Caenorhabditis elegans: one gene and its partner. The protein of the gene in region 1 purifies or fractionates together with the protein of each later gene. This does not show direct contact. Each region holds a gene or a part of one and is shown on either strand. Other genes may lie near its edges.

Region 1 (4,929 bases):
TGAATTGAATTTCAAGATTGAATCAATGTCTGCTTCTAGTTCTGTGCTGTCACCAGTAGTCGGTAGATAGTTTTCACTTCTGCAAGAGAATTATTTCTCCGTTTAAGGCTAAAATTAAAAAAATACGGTAGGGTTAAATGTAACAATTCTTAGAGGTTCCTTTCGATTTCCTGCTTTTTTCCATGATTGTCCAGGGCTGCCATAAATTCTCTGTAAACTTTGTGAAGTTTTCCAGAAAAAATTAACACTTGATGTACTTCCCGGAACAGACTTACTGATGCTATTGACTGATTATTGCTTTTGTATCAACCTCCCAATCAAAAACGAAAACGAATTTGCAATTTTCTCAGATTCGCAGTCAGAAATATATTATCCCACAAATTACATTTTTATGCAATATTTAAAAGTATATTTGTTAGGAACTATTTTAATGTACAATTTATACAAAAAATTAACAACGAAATGTGCAAAACAAAATAATGTTCAAATATTGGTAGATCAGTTCTTGCGCATAACATTGAAGATTACACTGAGTAATTTACACGTCACTTTACAGTTGTTGTTTAAATCTTTAATATATTTAAATCAAATATTATATTAATTGTTTTTGTTACTATACTTTCTACTGAAGTGTAGTTATACTGATTCAAAATGTTTTGTATCAAAAAGCTGTAATTTCTTGATTGTAACCTGACTGTATTCAAAAAATTACAGTGTAGTTTTGTATTTACCGTTCAATAAAAAAATAAATAAAAGTCTGAAATTTATTTTCGAGGTGTATATGCTTTGAACAATTTTACAAGAAACAACTTTGAGAATGCGCAAGAAATAAATGAAGAAAAATTGAAGATCGTGTGAGACATACCAGTAACAAAACCAGTAACAAAATGTTTCAAAATACAAATTATACATTAGTTTTCGAGAGTGATCGTTTTGGTGACTTCTGTAAAGTAACTGTCCTCTTTTGTTGTCACAATGAATTGGGTTTGCTTCTGACGTGAGAGGTATGGCTCAATCTGAAAGCACCACGTTAACTTTAGGCAATTTGATAAGAAACTGTTACAGCCGACGACACAACTTTTTAAAAATCAGTCTCAAGTTTCCGTTTATTTTTTCAGCTTGACAAAACTTTGAGAATACATTGCACTGAACGAAATACAGTTGTTTTTTTTTGCATTCAGATGTATATTGATAAATGATTGAACGAGATATGTACTAACCTTTTTACTTGCTTCATGGTACAAATTCCTGTCGATATCGTCGATGACAACAAGTGGCGAAGGTTTCCACTCATGGATAGCAAAAATGAGAGCCAAATCAACAATCATTCTGGACCCACCGTGAAACGTTCGAGTTGAAATGTGCTCACTGTGGCGTTCCTTCACAAATGCGTCAATTGCCAAGTAGGGCTCTTCCTCGTCCAATGGTCTAAGAAAAGCGAGAGAATCCTCGTCCTGCGCGATTTCAGCGTAAATTCTGCTCAGTGACGTTTGTAAAGGTGCCATAAAGTTGTTGAAACGTGCACTTCGCATGACTCTCAGCTGAAAATTTACAAAATAATGTGGTATTGTACTTCAGTAGCCATGCCACTTAAAGTTTTGATATGGTCTTGTAGATTTTTACACTCACTTTTTCCCAATTTAAACGTGCCTCTGATTCAATGTTCAGAGCCAATGTATGTTTCGTAGTTGCTTCCTTGATTCTCATGTTTATGTTATCGATATTTGCGTCATCCTTGATATTATTCTCGTCCAACCAACATTGACGAATTTTTTTGATTTCTTTTTCAAGCATAGAGCGTTTATAGCTAGTAGCTATAATATCGTCACTTTCCTGCAAACTCATTGGGTAATATATTTTAAATTTCAATGCATTACAAACCTTCTTATAGTACTCTGGCAATTCAGTGTAGTCAATTTCTCTTGCATAGATATTTGGGCCTGAAAACGATAGATAAATAAAAAATAGTTAATAACAAACATGTTCACCTTCTTCAGAAAACCGAATGTTCATGTTTGGATGATTCACAGCAAATTGAAGAAGCTCCCGACGTTCTGTCACTTTTTCATTCAAATAACTGTTCAGCTTGTCCACCGTAATCAAATTGTCGTAATGATTGTGAGTCTTTGGTCGGACAACAATCGCATTGTTTTTAAAGTTTGGTGATGGAGTTTGTTTCGGAATTGCTTCTGAGTATCTTGAAATTCTTAATGGCATCTTTGCATTCTGGAAAAAATAAAAGCATTGAAGGTTTTTTTCACAATTTTATTTGTACACTTCTACTTTATAAATTAACAAAAAACAAACCTTTGCGTTCACTTTTAACTGCTCTGCGACAAACTTCTCCTTGGTTTCCTGGATTTCTTTATCACATAAATACAGCTTGTAAAGCGTCAAGGTGATAAACTTTTCTTTTTCTAGTTCAATGCTATCAATCATTTTTGCCCACCGGAGAACAGTACTCTCCGCAAAATTCAATTTCGCTTTTAGCTCATCGTATTCTGGTTTGAACTCAATGGAGTTGGAAACTATGTCGAAAAATGCTCCAAGTTCTTCTGCACTTTTGCGGGTGACTTTTAGTGTTGTTTTGTTGTAGACAGATATATTTTGACCAGCAAATCTGAAATTCATTTTTCCAAGTTCCAATAAATATTCTTCTTCTGTGACGTATTTATTGAAGATCATGTAGGTGTATGTAGTTTTCAGTCCAATTCTCGTAAATCTTTTCGTTGATCCATCTGGCATTTCGAACTTCAAACTCACGACGCATCGAATGTTGTAGTCATAGAATAGGTGCTGTAAAATAATTTTTTTCTCGATTTTCATAATGTTATGCTAACCTCGTTGTGCGGATTTTTGGGATCAGGTAAGTCTTCGCCAAATACAAAGGCAATAGCTTCTATCATAATCGATTTTCCACACCCATTCATTCCAATAAAAGTTGTCACATGGTCAAATGGCCCGAAGCTTTTGTGGTGTTGGTAACATTTGAAATTTAGAATGTCAACTGTTAGTAGTCGTTGCTGCGGGTACGTCATGTCTGCAATTAAACAAATTTAAAAAAAGCGGTCAGAATCAACATCAAATTGTGATAAATAACATTTTTAAAACAAGAAAATTGAAGACAAAAAAGACAAAAAAAAACAAACGCAAATAGTTAATTCAAAAAAAATAGCAGACAATGATGAGCACGTCTTGTATTCTTAGGCCACGGCCACAAGTGCAGCGAGGGAGAAACCCTGCATTCGTATGGGTGCTGGTTTTCTCTGCGTCTATCTGCAAAACAAAAACTATCGACACTGTTGTAGAAATGGCCAAAATCGTGTAAAAAGCAGTTGAACGGGAAAGAAATGATTTGCCGAGTATGTATTTAAATCAGAAAATGTACTTCATGCTCTCCGTCTCAGAAATGGAATTGAACCGACAATATTTATATCTATAGTCTTTAGTATTATCTAGCAAACAATAACAAAAAAGTATTATTATTATGAATATTAAAAAAGAACGAAAGTGTGGTAAACTGCCTTTATTATACTAATCACATTGAAATAGCTTGGGACTTCGGATTTAAGAAAGACGAGTATGGTCGGGAATGTTCGTGAAGGAATTTTCGTCAGGCTTTATATTTTGTAAATGTATCAACATTGTAATAGATACACGTAAAAAAAGACATTAGATATCTGGCATGCTGAAAGTTGTGGTGTGTTTAGTGAAGTAACTGTCGTTGTGGGTGGTTACAATGTATTGAGTATTGTCCTGGCCGGTGAGATACGAACAGACCTGAAATTTGTTTAATTAAACAGTGAATTTATCTTTAGATGAGCCGTAGCTTCTGTTTTTTGACCAACCTTATTGCTTGTCGTTTCCGACATTCTTTTGTCAATGTCATCAACCACGAGGAGTGGTGAAGGCGTTTGCACATTTTTCAAATAAGCCGTTTGCTCGTGAAGTGCAAGAACAAGAGCCAGATTAGCAACGATTCCTCTTGATCCGCCGCGGTGGAAGCGAGTTGGCTCGAGATCTTCATTTATTCCTCCGACAAACAGATCAACATTCATACGGTTCATCCTCATTGGATGACGCAAGTGAAACGGTGGAATCCGGATCCTCAGAAATCTCTCTATAGATTCTGCTCACAGACGATGATACTGCAGCAAGGCGTTGATTGAAATGAGTACGGCGACTGGCTTTGACCTGAAATGAAACAATGTCTTCAAAAAACCAAGGTAATTCTATACACAGGTACAGAGAAATTCATAAAAATTTAAACAGAAAAAAACATTAAATAAACCTGTTCAATTTCGGCTTCTAGCTCAGTTGTGCGTAACTTTGCTATGTTAATAAAGCTGTCCGTCTCGTGGAATCTTATTAAAATATTACTCATATCCGGATACTCTGCTCCATTGACAGCAACCCATTCGTTACGAGTTGCCTGGATCGTTTCCTCCAAAGTACGCAGATGCATCTTAACTGTTTCAGCATCGTTGCTTTCCTGAAATTGAATAATTTTCTTCAAATGGCGGCAAATTTTCTTACCTTCTTCAACTCATCTGGTAAGGAGGAATAATCCGGTTTGACGTCGTAGGAAAACGTACCTAAATATTGAAGTAAATCCATGCTATTTGAAACTGTATTCAGAGTCACATACCTGCTTCTTTGGCAGGAATATCAAGATCCTGTAAAGTGACATTTGCAATGATTTTTCGACGTTGTGCACGTTGTTGGACGAGTCGATTTTCTAGTTCGATGACAATAGCCGGTTTTTCTGCGTTCTCTTGGGATAAACTGTCACCATCCAGCCTTGAACAGCCTTGAACCTTGAACATTGCGGGAGGAGCTTGTTTTGCAATTGCTTTTGGATCATCACTTTTTGTAACTTTCTGCGATTGTTTTGATGCCTGAAAAAATTGGCTTGTTAAAACGTTTTTC
Region 2 (8,112 bases), on another chromosome or scaffold:
AACATTTGAGTGGTTTTAACAAATTTCCCAACTAACAATATTTTCAAAAAATTTGTTAAGGTCTACCAAAAAGGATTAAAATAACTATGTATATATCAAAATAAAAGATCCTGTTTTTTAACAGATTGTCCAAAATTTTTAGTCAAATTTTTAGCAGCTTTCGAAATTTTAGGAAATTTTCTTTGTTAGGAAATTATTTTTTGATGGCATTATTTTTTTTAGGAAAAACTTTGCAATGTAGTTCTAAAATAAAAATGAAATAATTATTTTTGTGAATCGTGAATCGAAAATTTACCTTGTCAGCGAATTAAGAAAATGAGATAGATTGGACAGTACGTGATGCAAAGATATAGGGGTTTCACAAAATATACAACAAAATGGAAATATATTAAAAAGGGAAATAATTAAAATCACAAGGAAAAATTAAGCTAGACGAATATTAAAAAATACAAGCTTGAAAGAAAGTTGGTCTCATTTTTTGGATTTTTCACAAAGTTTTCTTTTTTTTTTCAAAATTTAGTTTAAAATATATTACTTCAATTTAATGTCTGCTTCTTCGCACACGGCGTTGAACGACAATTGGTGGTGGAGATGGAGTTGCTTCTTCGATCAATTCATCCTCTTCATCTTCCTCTTCAACTTGACGACGCGGACGTCTTCTTACTGGCTCATCGTCTTCATCTGAATCCTCAACACTTAATTCACGACGAGTTGCGGGTGGGAATCTATTAAATTCAGGAAGATCACTGTCATCATCGAGACCAAAGTCCGAGAGTTTCAGCATTTCCAGCCGGCGTTGTTTACCTGAAAATTGGTATTTGTTGAGATGGGTTTAAGTTGGACTGGTTGCTACTTTGATTTGGTATTTTACAATTAAAGTGCAGTTGATATGTCACTAATTATTACTTACGTTTTGGTGCAATAACGACATTGCTGAGCCCATTACTCAAATCAATTTCCGGTTCAATCTCGGCACGTCGTAGCTTCTCGCGCCGTTTGATCTCCTCCTCGAAAATCTTCAAAATCGGACGATTCTTGATCTCCACCGCGATCGGATCCACCATAATGTTATAAGTTTTTCCATCGATTTTATAGATACCAAGCAAGCGATTTCCGACCTCGAACATTTGATTTCGAAGCGAAATTATGATAAATTGAGCGTTCCGTGTTCGCTCGGAATGCTTGATATAGTTTGCAATCAGGCTGACATTGTTCAAGTCCAGTGCCGCATCGATTTCATCCATCACGTAGAGGGGTGTTGGACGGTAGTGGTGCATTGCAAAGACAAAGCATAAAGAGGCCAGAGTCTTCTCTCCGCCAGATAGATTCTCGATGAGCTTCCAGGATTTCTTGGCGGGACGTACACTGAACTTTATTCCACCATCGAAGGGATCGGTAGATTTTCCTTCTTCCACAAACTTCAAACTAGCATCTCCGCCATTGGTGATAAGCTGTAAGCAAATAACTTGTTTCTTTTAATCTCATTTAAAGCAATGGGTCTGACAGAAAAAATGCTTCCTGTCAGCCTGGTAGCAGGCAAGTACCCCTTACTCACCTGGTAAAGCATTTGGGTAGTAGTACCCAAGAATGCGAGCGCCTCGCTGAACTCGTTGAATCTCGCCATTCTCAACTCGTTGAGCTTCTCACGATGAGCCTTCAGCTTATCGCTAAACTTCTTCGCTGACGTCACCTCGTTCATGAGAAGCGACACAATCATCGCATAATCCCGAACACCTTTATTATCAAATTCCCGCCGGAACTTGTCAACATCTTTTTCCAGCTTGCAAATCTTGTTAGCAGTGTCCTCGAAAACATCGTCCTCAAGCATTCTCGCTTCGTGCTCTTCGTAAGCTTCACGGTGAGGTTCGATCATACTGATGCATTCATATGGGAGTACAACGTGCCTAAAAACTCAGTGATTATAAATTTGAATTTGCACATGGAAAATCTCCCAAAGCTTCTGAAACGTACCCATCAGTCATTTTGGCCGCAATATCTGGATCATTATATCTGACAAATTTGCCAGGTGGATAGAGCTTTTCCGGTTGCATCCATGCAGATTCAATAATATCAAGTTCTGCATTATCCGCCATTGTCTTGTTTTCCAAGTCATCAATGATTCTCATCAGTTCATCATAAGTCTGTTTGACCATGTTGTAGTTGTCAACTGTGGTTTGATAGGCTGCATCTGCTTCTCGGCGTGCCGCAACCGCTTCAGTGTACCTGGCTCTTTGTGCATCAATGCTGGCCTGGAAGATTAAAAATTAGAAAATAGTAAAGCTTGAATTGGTAAATTCTGAATAGCTCGAAAATGGCGAACTTCATAAGGAGACTGCTTAAAAAAGCGCAAAAATTGTTTGAATAGTGGTTTAAAATTTTGAAAAAAAATCGAAAATGTTTACTAGAACTAAGGGAGCAAGGTTGGAAACACCAAGCTAAAGCCTAAGCCTAAAAAAAGCCTAAGTTGGAGCTCAAGCCAGAACCTAAGCCTGGACCTAAGCTTGAACTGAAGTCGAAGCCTAAACATAAGCCTAACCAGAATCCTAGTCCTATAGAAATTAAACATACCGTTGAAGTTTGCAATTGCGCATTGATAATATCAATTCCCTTTACATCCTCTCCAACTTCCAATTGAGCCAATGCATCTGCCTCGCTACGTTTCTCCAGACACATATGCTCCAGCTCACTAAGCTTCTTCTCGGCCTGCTCCAAATGTGATGGATTGTTCTCAATAATTGCAGTTTGTCGTGCAATGTCCTGCTCCAGCTGTCCCATTCGATCCTTCGCCTGCTCAATTGAGTCCTTATTTTTTTGGACCAACTCCATAAACATTCGGTCCATTTTCCGTTTGTATTGCTCAATTTGCTGCTTGATTTTTGCTGAAGACTTTTGGCTCTCCTCCACTTGACGTTTCAGATCTGCAATTTGAGCTCTCTTCTCGTCCAAATCCTCAACGGTCACTTCTCTATAGTTAACCATACGGCGCTCATGTGCTGCGATTGAGCTCTGGAAATAATTAAAAAATTAGAATGGAAATTTTGAATAAAATCTAGTTTTTTTTTCGATATATCCATTTTCAAGAAAATCGGAACAGCGAAAATTTCTGTGTTTCAGTAAGAGACGCAAAAATAAATCACCTTTAACTCGGCAATCCGTGTTTTCTGCTCCTTGGTGGACATAATCAATTCACGCTTACGAATCTCGAGCTGTTTGATAATCGGACCATTGTCGGCTCGGATCTCTTCTTGCTTTAACTGCAACTTCAAATGAGCTTCCAGTGCGTGATTGTGCTTCTCCTGTGCGGCTCTTAGCTTGCTCAAATCAACTTTTTTGACTCCACTCATGTTTGGATTATTATCATTTCGAATACGACCAGTCGTCGGTTTTCCACCACCAGTCAATGCTCCACTTCGGTTCAAAATTGAGCCATTCAGTGTGCAATAACGATGCCTTCCAGGATACTTCTTATCAATTCGAGTTGCTTCTTCAAGACTGTCAACAACCAGAATGTCATGGATCAAGAAATAGAATTCGCGGCGAATCTCAGGGTTTACACAGTGAATCTTATCGAAAAGTCGTTCGGCTGGGCTGAAAATAAGAATTAATTAGATTTGGCAACTAAAGGCAACTACCAACAATTTCATTGTAGAATCCATTCCGCTAGTATCAGTATCTTTCAAGTGATCCAAGAAGACAAACGTCGTACGAGGAAGTTTGTACTCGTGGCAGAAGCCAATTCCGATTCTACATTCATCGCTAGTTTGCACAACGTGGTAATCCAATTGTGCAAAGAACACTGTTGAAATTGCGGTGTCGAACTTGATTGGGATACTTGCCAAATCTCCCTGTAAGACAATTAATTTTAAATTGGTCCTCGAAAAAAAATCAATTCGAAATCAGACTAAACGTGTGGCTTCTGAATTTGAAAGATCCTATTTAAAATGTATTTCTCCCAGAAAAATCATACTTACATGGAACATCAGATTACCCCAGGATGCTCACAGCTAATCAAATTTCAAAGCAGGTACTCACTCCCAATCGAATAACTTACCAAGCGACCTTTGAAGCCCGGAAATAATCCAGCCTCTTTCAGTTCATGAAGCTTTGCGGTTGCCTGATGACGGTACGTAACTTCCTGGGTGTTCGATGCTTCAATCACTTCTTGATCCAGCTCATACTTCTTGCTTCTCAAAAGTTGTTCGGTAGACTTCAAATGCGGAAGCTTCTCGACAGCTTTGTCAAACTTCAGCTTTCTATCTTGCAGCTCAGTTGTGACGGCGTTTAGCTCACTGGAAGGATATGGGGAATTTTTAAAAGCTGGTTAAAATAAAATAAAATAAAATAAAACTTACGTATTATCTCTAATGTTCTCAGCCATCATTGTTTGCAATGTCCCTTTAAGCTCATCAACTCTCTTCTGTCCCTGCTCCATCATTATCGTCATATCCTTAAGTTCTGATTCAGAAACGTCCAATTCTGCTTTTGCTCGCATCGATTGCAGAAGCTCATCTGAGAGTTTTTTCTCCAGATCATCATGCTTCGCTCTGTCGGCACTAGACTTCTGATCATACTTGATGAGATTCTCTGTAGCTGTCCGCTGACACACATTCTCCTGCTCCTTGAGCTGATCCCATTCGAGTTGCATGTTTTGCTTAGAGATTCTCGCATTCTCTGGAGCCGTCTCAATTTCAAACTTCTCCCGACGAGCTTCATCCCGCTCCTTCATGAGCTTCCCAAGGTCCTGAGTACACGACTTGAGCCCCTGCTTTCTCTTAGCATCACGTGCATGCCAGTCATTCTTCTTCGATTGCCAATCGATTCTTTTATTCTCCAGCTCAGTGACAATACTATTAAGGCTTCTCTCGTGAGTCTCCTTCTTCCGAACTTCATCCTTTGCCTCAAGCATGATATCCTTGTTCTCTTCGAGTTCTCCTGTTCGAGTGACAAGACTCATTTTGGCGTCCCTCATTGTTTCAGCATAACGGCACAAATTGTGCTTGACACGGATTCCACGAAGGTAGTTGAGATTATTGAAGGTATTCAGGTAGGCCATCCCGATAACCATTGCCTTTTCAAAGACTTTTAGGTGTCCCTCGTGGCGGCGAACACTGGAAATGGAAAGAATTTTAATTTGAAATTTTTTTAAGTTTCAGAAAATTAATATATTTCAAGTTGAAACCGCAAAGTTTTTTTGTTTTTTCCTAGTTCAATTTGAATTTCCATGCTTTATATTTTTATGTGGTACATCCGTGCCAAAATTTGTGGTATTTAATAATATTAAAATGAACTTACGAGGCTCCATATTGTGAACTTTTGTGCTCCAATAGAGAAACCCGATGCATTAGTTTGGAAATTGGTGCGACAAAACGATTGGTTCCAACAATATCCTCAATATATTCAAGCATTCCTTCTTCATTCGGATTTTTGGATGTTGGCTTCATTAGTGCAATCGCTTCAACTTCTCCTTGCAGAATCAGGAATCGATTATGGGTCATATCAATTCCAGCACGTAGGAGAAGCTCCTGGACGTCTTTTTGCGATGCATCTTTGTCATCAATACGATATTTTGAATTGTTTTCACGATTTATTGTGCGGGTGATGCAGACGCAATTATCTGTTAACACTTCATATTTATCGTAATTTTCGACAGGCTGAAAATTAATTTTGATATTGATAGTTATTAGTTTGTTTTCAATCGTGTGGATCTCAGGCCCGCTTTAATAACCTACTTACCATATCCTTCACCATCTGGAACATAATTGTTACTGAACATGATTCGTAGTTCCCTCCTGAATTGATCAATGCTGATAGCTTCTTGGTACGAATTTTTCCAGCCTGAAACAATGTATATTGTGGAATAAAAATTTCAATTTAAAAAACTCACTTTAAATCCAAACACGAATAGCAATGCATCAATAACGTTTGACTTTCCACTTCCATTTGGTCCCAGGATCATTGTCAAGTTCTTGTGAAACGGTCCGAGAATATGTTTTCCAGCATAACTTTTAAAGTTCTCAACGTAGATATTCAGAATTATCATTCGATTTCCATCCGGATCCGAGATCTGATCTTCATATTTTGGGGGAATTTGAACATTCAAAAGATCCTCTTTTTCATCATATTTCACACCGTTTTCAGCCGCTTCAAGTTCCAACATATACGCGCCTGAACTAACATCATCGAATATGTTGAGCTGTTCCATGTACTGTCGTCGGCGATCCACGTCGAGATCGACTTCAGGCATCGAGTCGGTGTCAGCATATGGTCTATCATCGTCCGAGGTTAGCGCCCGTCTTTTAAACGGCTGCATACCTGAAAAAAGGAATTAATTTTGATAAATATTAAAAGGGAGAGGGAGAGTAAGAGGTGCATAATTTTGCCAAAAAGGCAAAGCTTTGGAAATGTTTTGACAACTGGCAAACTTTCGACCCCTTCCAATCAAATTTTTTTGGTAATTATCAACTGACAAAATTTCTTTGAATGCCAATTGCCAACATTACCTAATCAAAAAATTTTGAAATATATATTTCATATTTAAAATTGAATCACACAGTTTACAAATTGATAACATTGAAAAAAGTCATCTAGAAATTTATTAATGTTATAGTATATTATATAGTTATCAGTATGATTTCACCTCAAATATTGAAAACTAAATTTTTAATGTTGGGGAAAAATTCAAATCGATAATTCAAACGAATTTTTTTTCCGGACTTTAGGAAAATCAGGGCACAGATAACATTGGAAACTATATATAAGTTTGTTAATTTTTTTAAGATTTAAGATTATGAAAGCTGCGCTAATTAATTTATTTGTCAAATTCAAAAAAAAAGTTAAGAAACGGTCACACACGAGCACACACCCATTTCATTGCGCGCGCGCAAGCGTATGTCTGTGTCTGTGTGTGCGAGCTGTTACTACTGCTGACCGAGTGTGGGGTTAGAGGCAGACGACGAAAGAGAACGAAGGTGAAAGTGGAAAAGAGCATGGAGAACGTGGAGACTGAGAGAAATGACAGACTCCGACTGCGGTCAAGACGATTCGGGTGAGAGAAAGAATAGTGGAATAAGAGACGGAGAGAATCCATAGCAATGGGTGGGTGGGTGATGAGCGGAATATTGTTGCGAAGAAGGTTGGGTGTACCAGACTAAGGAGCTGGAGAGATAAAGATTCTAATTATTTGAAAATTTGGCAAACGTTTCCCATTACTAGATGTACAAATCGATATGCTACAGATAGTCGATCAACGATCACGCTTTGGGAAAAGTATACGAGTTTTCAGCTGAAGAGGTCCCCAAAAAACCGAGAGGTTTTTATATGTATAATATTGAAAAAAAATCACTAGATTTTATTGATAAGAAGTAGTTTAACACGATGAGTGAAACTTGAAATTTTATATTAGATATGTATGTGAATCCAGATGGAAGCATGAAGGAAATGAGCCAAAAATTTTGTCAATTTATGTGTCTGTACGATCTCTATTGAACTTCGTCTATAATAGAACAAGTAGTTAAAGTCCTGATAGGCATTACTGTCTGCGATTACCCGTGTCTTGCTCCGTCAAATCCATTGCACCAGTTGATCCGGGCATCCTTAATGAAGAAGAGAATAGAAGAGAATTGAAGTCAGAAGACAAAAGTATAAAACTGACTAGTTTTAACAAGGTGTGAGAAACAAGAGACGGATGATTATTTTGTACTTCTCAGGTCGCCTAGGTAACAAGCACACTGGTACGGGCTGGCACGACTCCATCTTGTGATGGGTAGAAGAGGTGTGTGAGAGAAGAATATGAGCTGATCTCCTCTGTTGAGATGATAGATAAGCTTATAATTTGAGCAGTTAGTTGCGTGTAATTGAGGATTTCGTTTTTGATGTTGCAGCCAACAACGGGTCTTCTAATGGTGGGAAATGAGAGATCAAACAACGGATGGTCTTGTGAGCAAGAACATCTGCCAACATACGGTTCAGATGAGCATATTACAGAGTCACAAACCATGTAAACTTCTAGAAAGTCTGCAATCGAAAAAATGGAGGGGAACTGTAGAAGAAGAAACAGGGGTATAATTTGATGTAAAACGGATTTGGATGTAAAACGAAATTTTCAATTCCGAC

Evidence for each region. The genes of interacting proteins can lie anywhere in the genome.
Region 2: the proteins of smcl-1 (region 1) and dpy-27 purify together in Caenorhabditis elegans (affinity purification with mass spectrometry; one study listed by BioGRID). This does not show direct contact.

Annotation. Positions count from the first base shown.
Region 1 is NC_003284.9:11,691,575-11,696,503, reverse strand, and holds smcl-1 (Structural maintenance of chromosomes-like protein 1), read right to left. Parts: upstream 3,041-4,929; 5' UTR 3,039-3,040; coding exon 2,841-3,038; intron 2,797-2,840; coding exon 2,308-2,796; intron 2,253-2,307; exon of another isoform or gene 2,227-2,252; coding exon 1,989-2,226; intron 1,941-1,988; coding exon 1,882-1,940; intron 1,849-1,881; exon of another isoform or gene 1,834-1,848; coding exon 1,630-1,833; intron 1,542-1,629; coding exon 1,221-1,541; intron 1,017-1,220; coding exon 912-1,016; 3' UTR 751-911; downstream 1-750. Other genes in the region: C44C10.5 (DUF4456 domain-containing protein), read right to left, coding at 4,048-4,194, 4,292-4,492, 4,537-4,595, 4,649-4,898.
Region 2 is NC_003281.10:3,813,368-3,821,479, forward strand, and holds dpy-27 (Chromosome condensation protein dpy-27), read right to left. Parts: upstream 6,313-8,112; 5' UTR 6,311-6,312; coding exon 5,885-6,310; intron 5,836-5,884; coding exon 5,734-5,835; intron 5,652-5,733; coding exon 5,293-5,651; intron 5,109-5,292; coding exon 4,353-5,108; intron 4,290-4,352; coding exon 4,052-4,289; intron 3,846-4,051; coding exon 3,637-3,845; intron 3,589-3,636; coding exon 3,138-3,588; intron 3,007-3,137; coding exon 2,569-3,006; intron 2,250-2,568; coding exon 1,972-2,249; intron 1,905-1,971; coding exon 1,556-1,904; intron 1,452-1,555; coding exon 911-1,451; intron 805-910; coding exon 542-804; 3' UTR 277-541; downstream 1-276. UniProt on the Caenorhabditis elegans protein: Central component of the condensin I-like dosage compensation complex that associates specifically with hermaphrodite X chromosomes to reduce their gene transcription throughout development.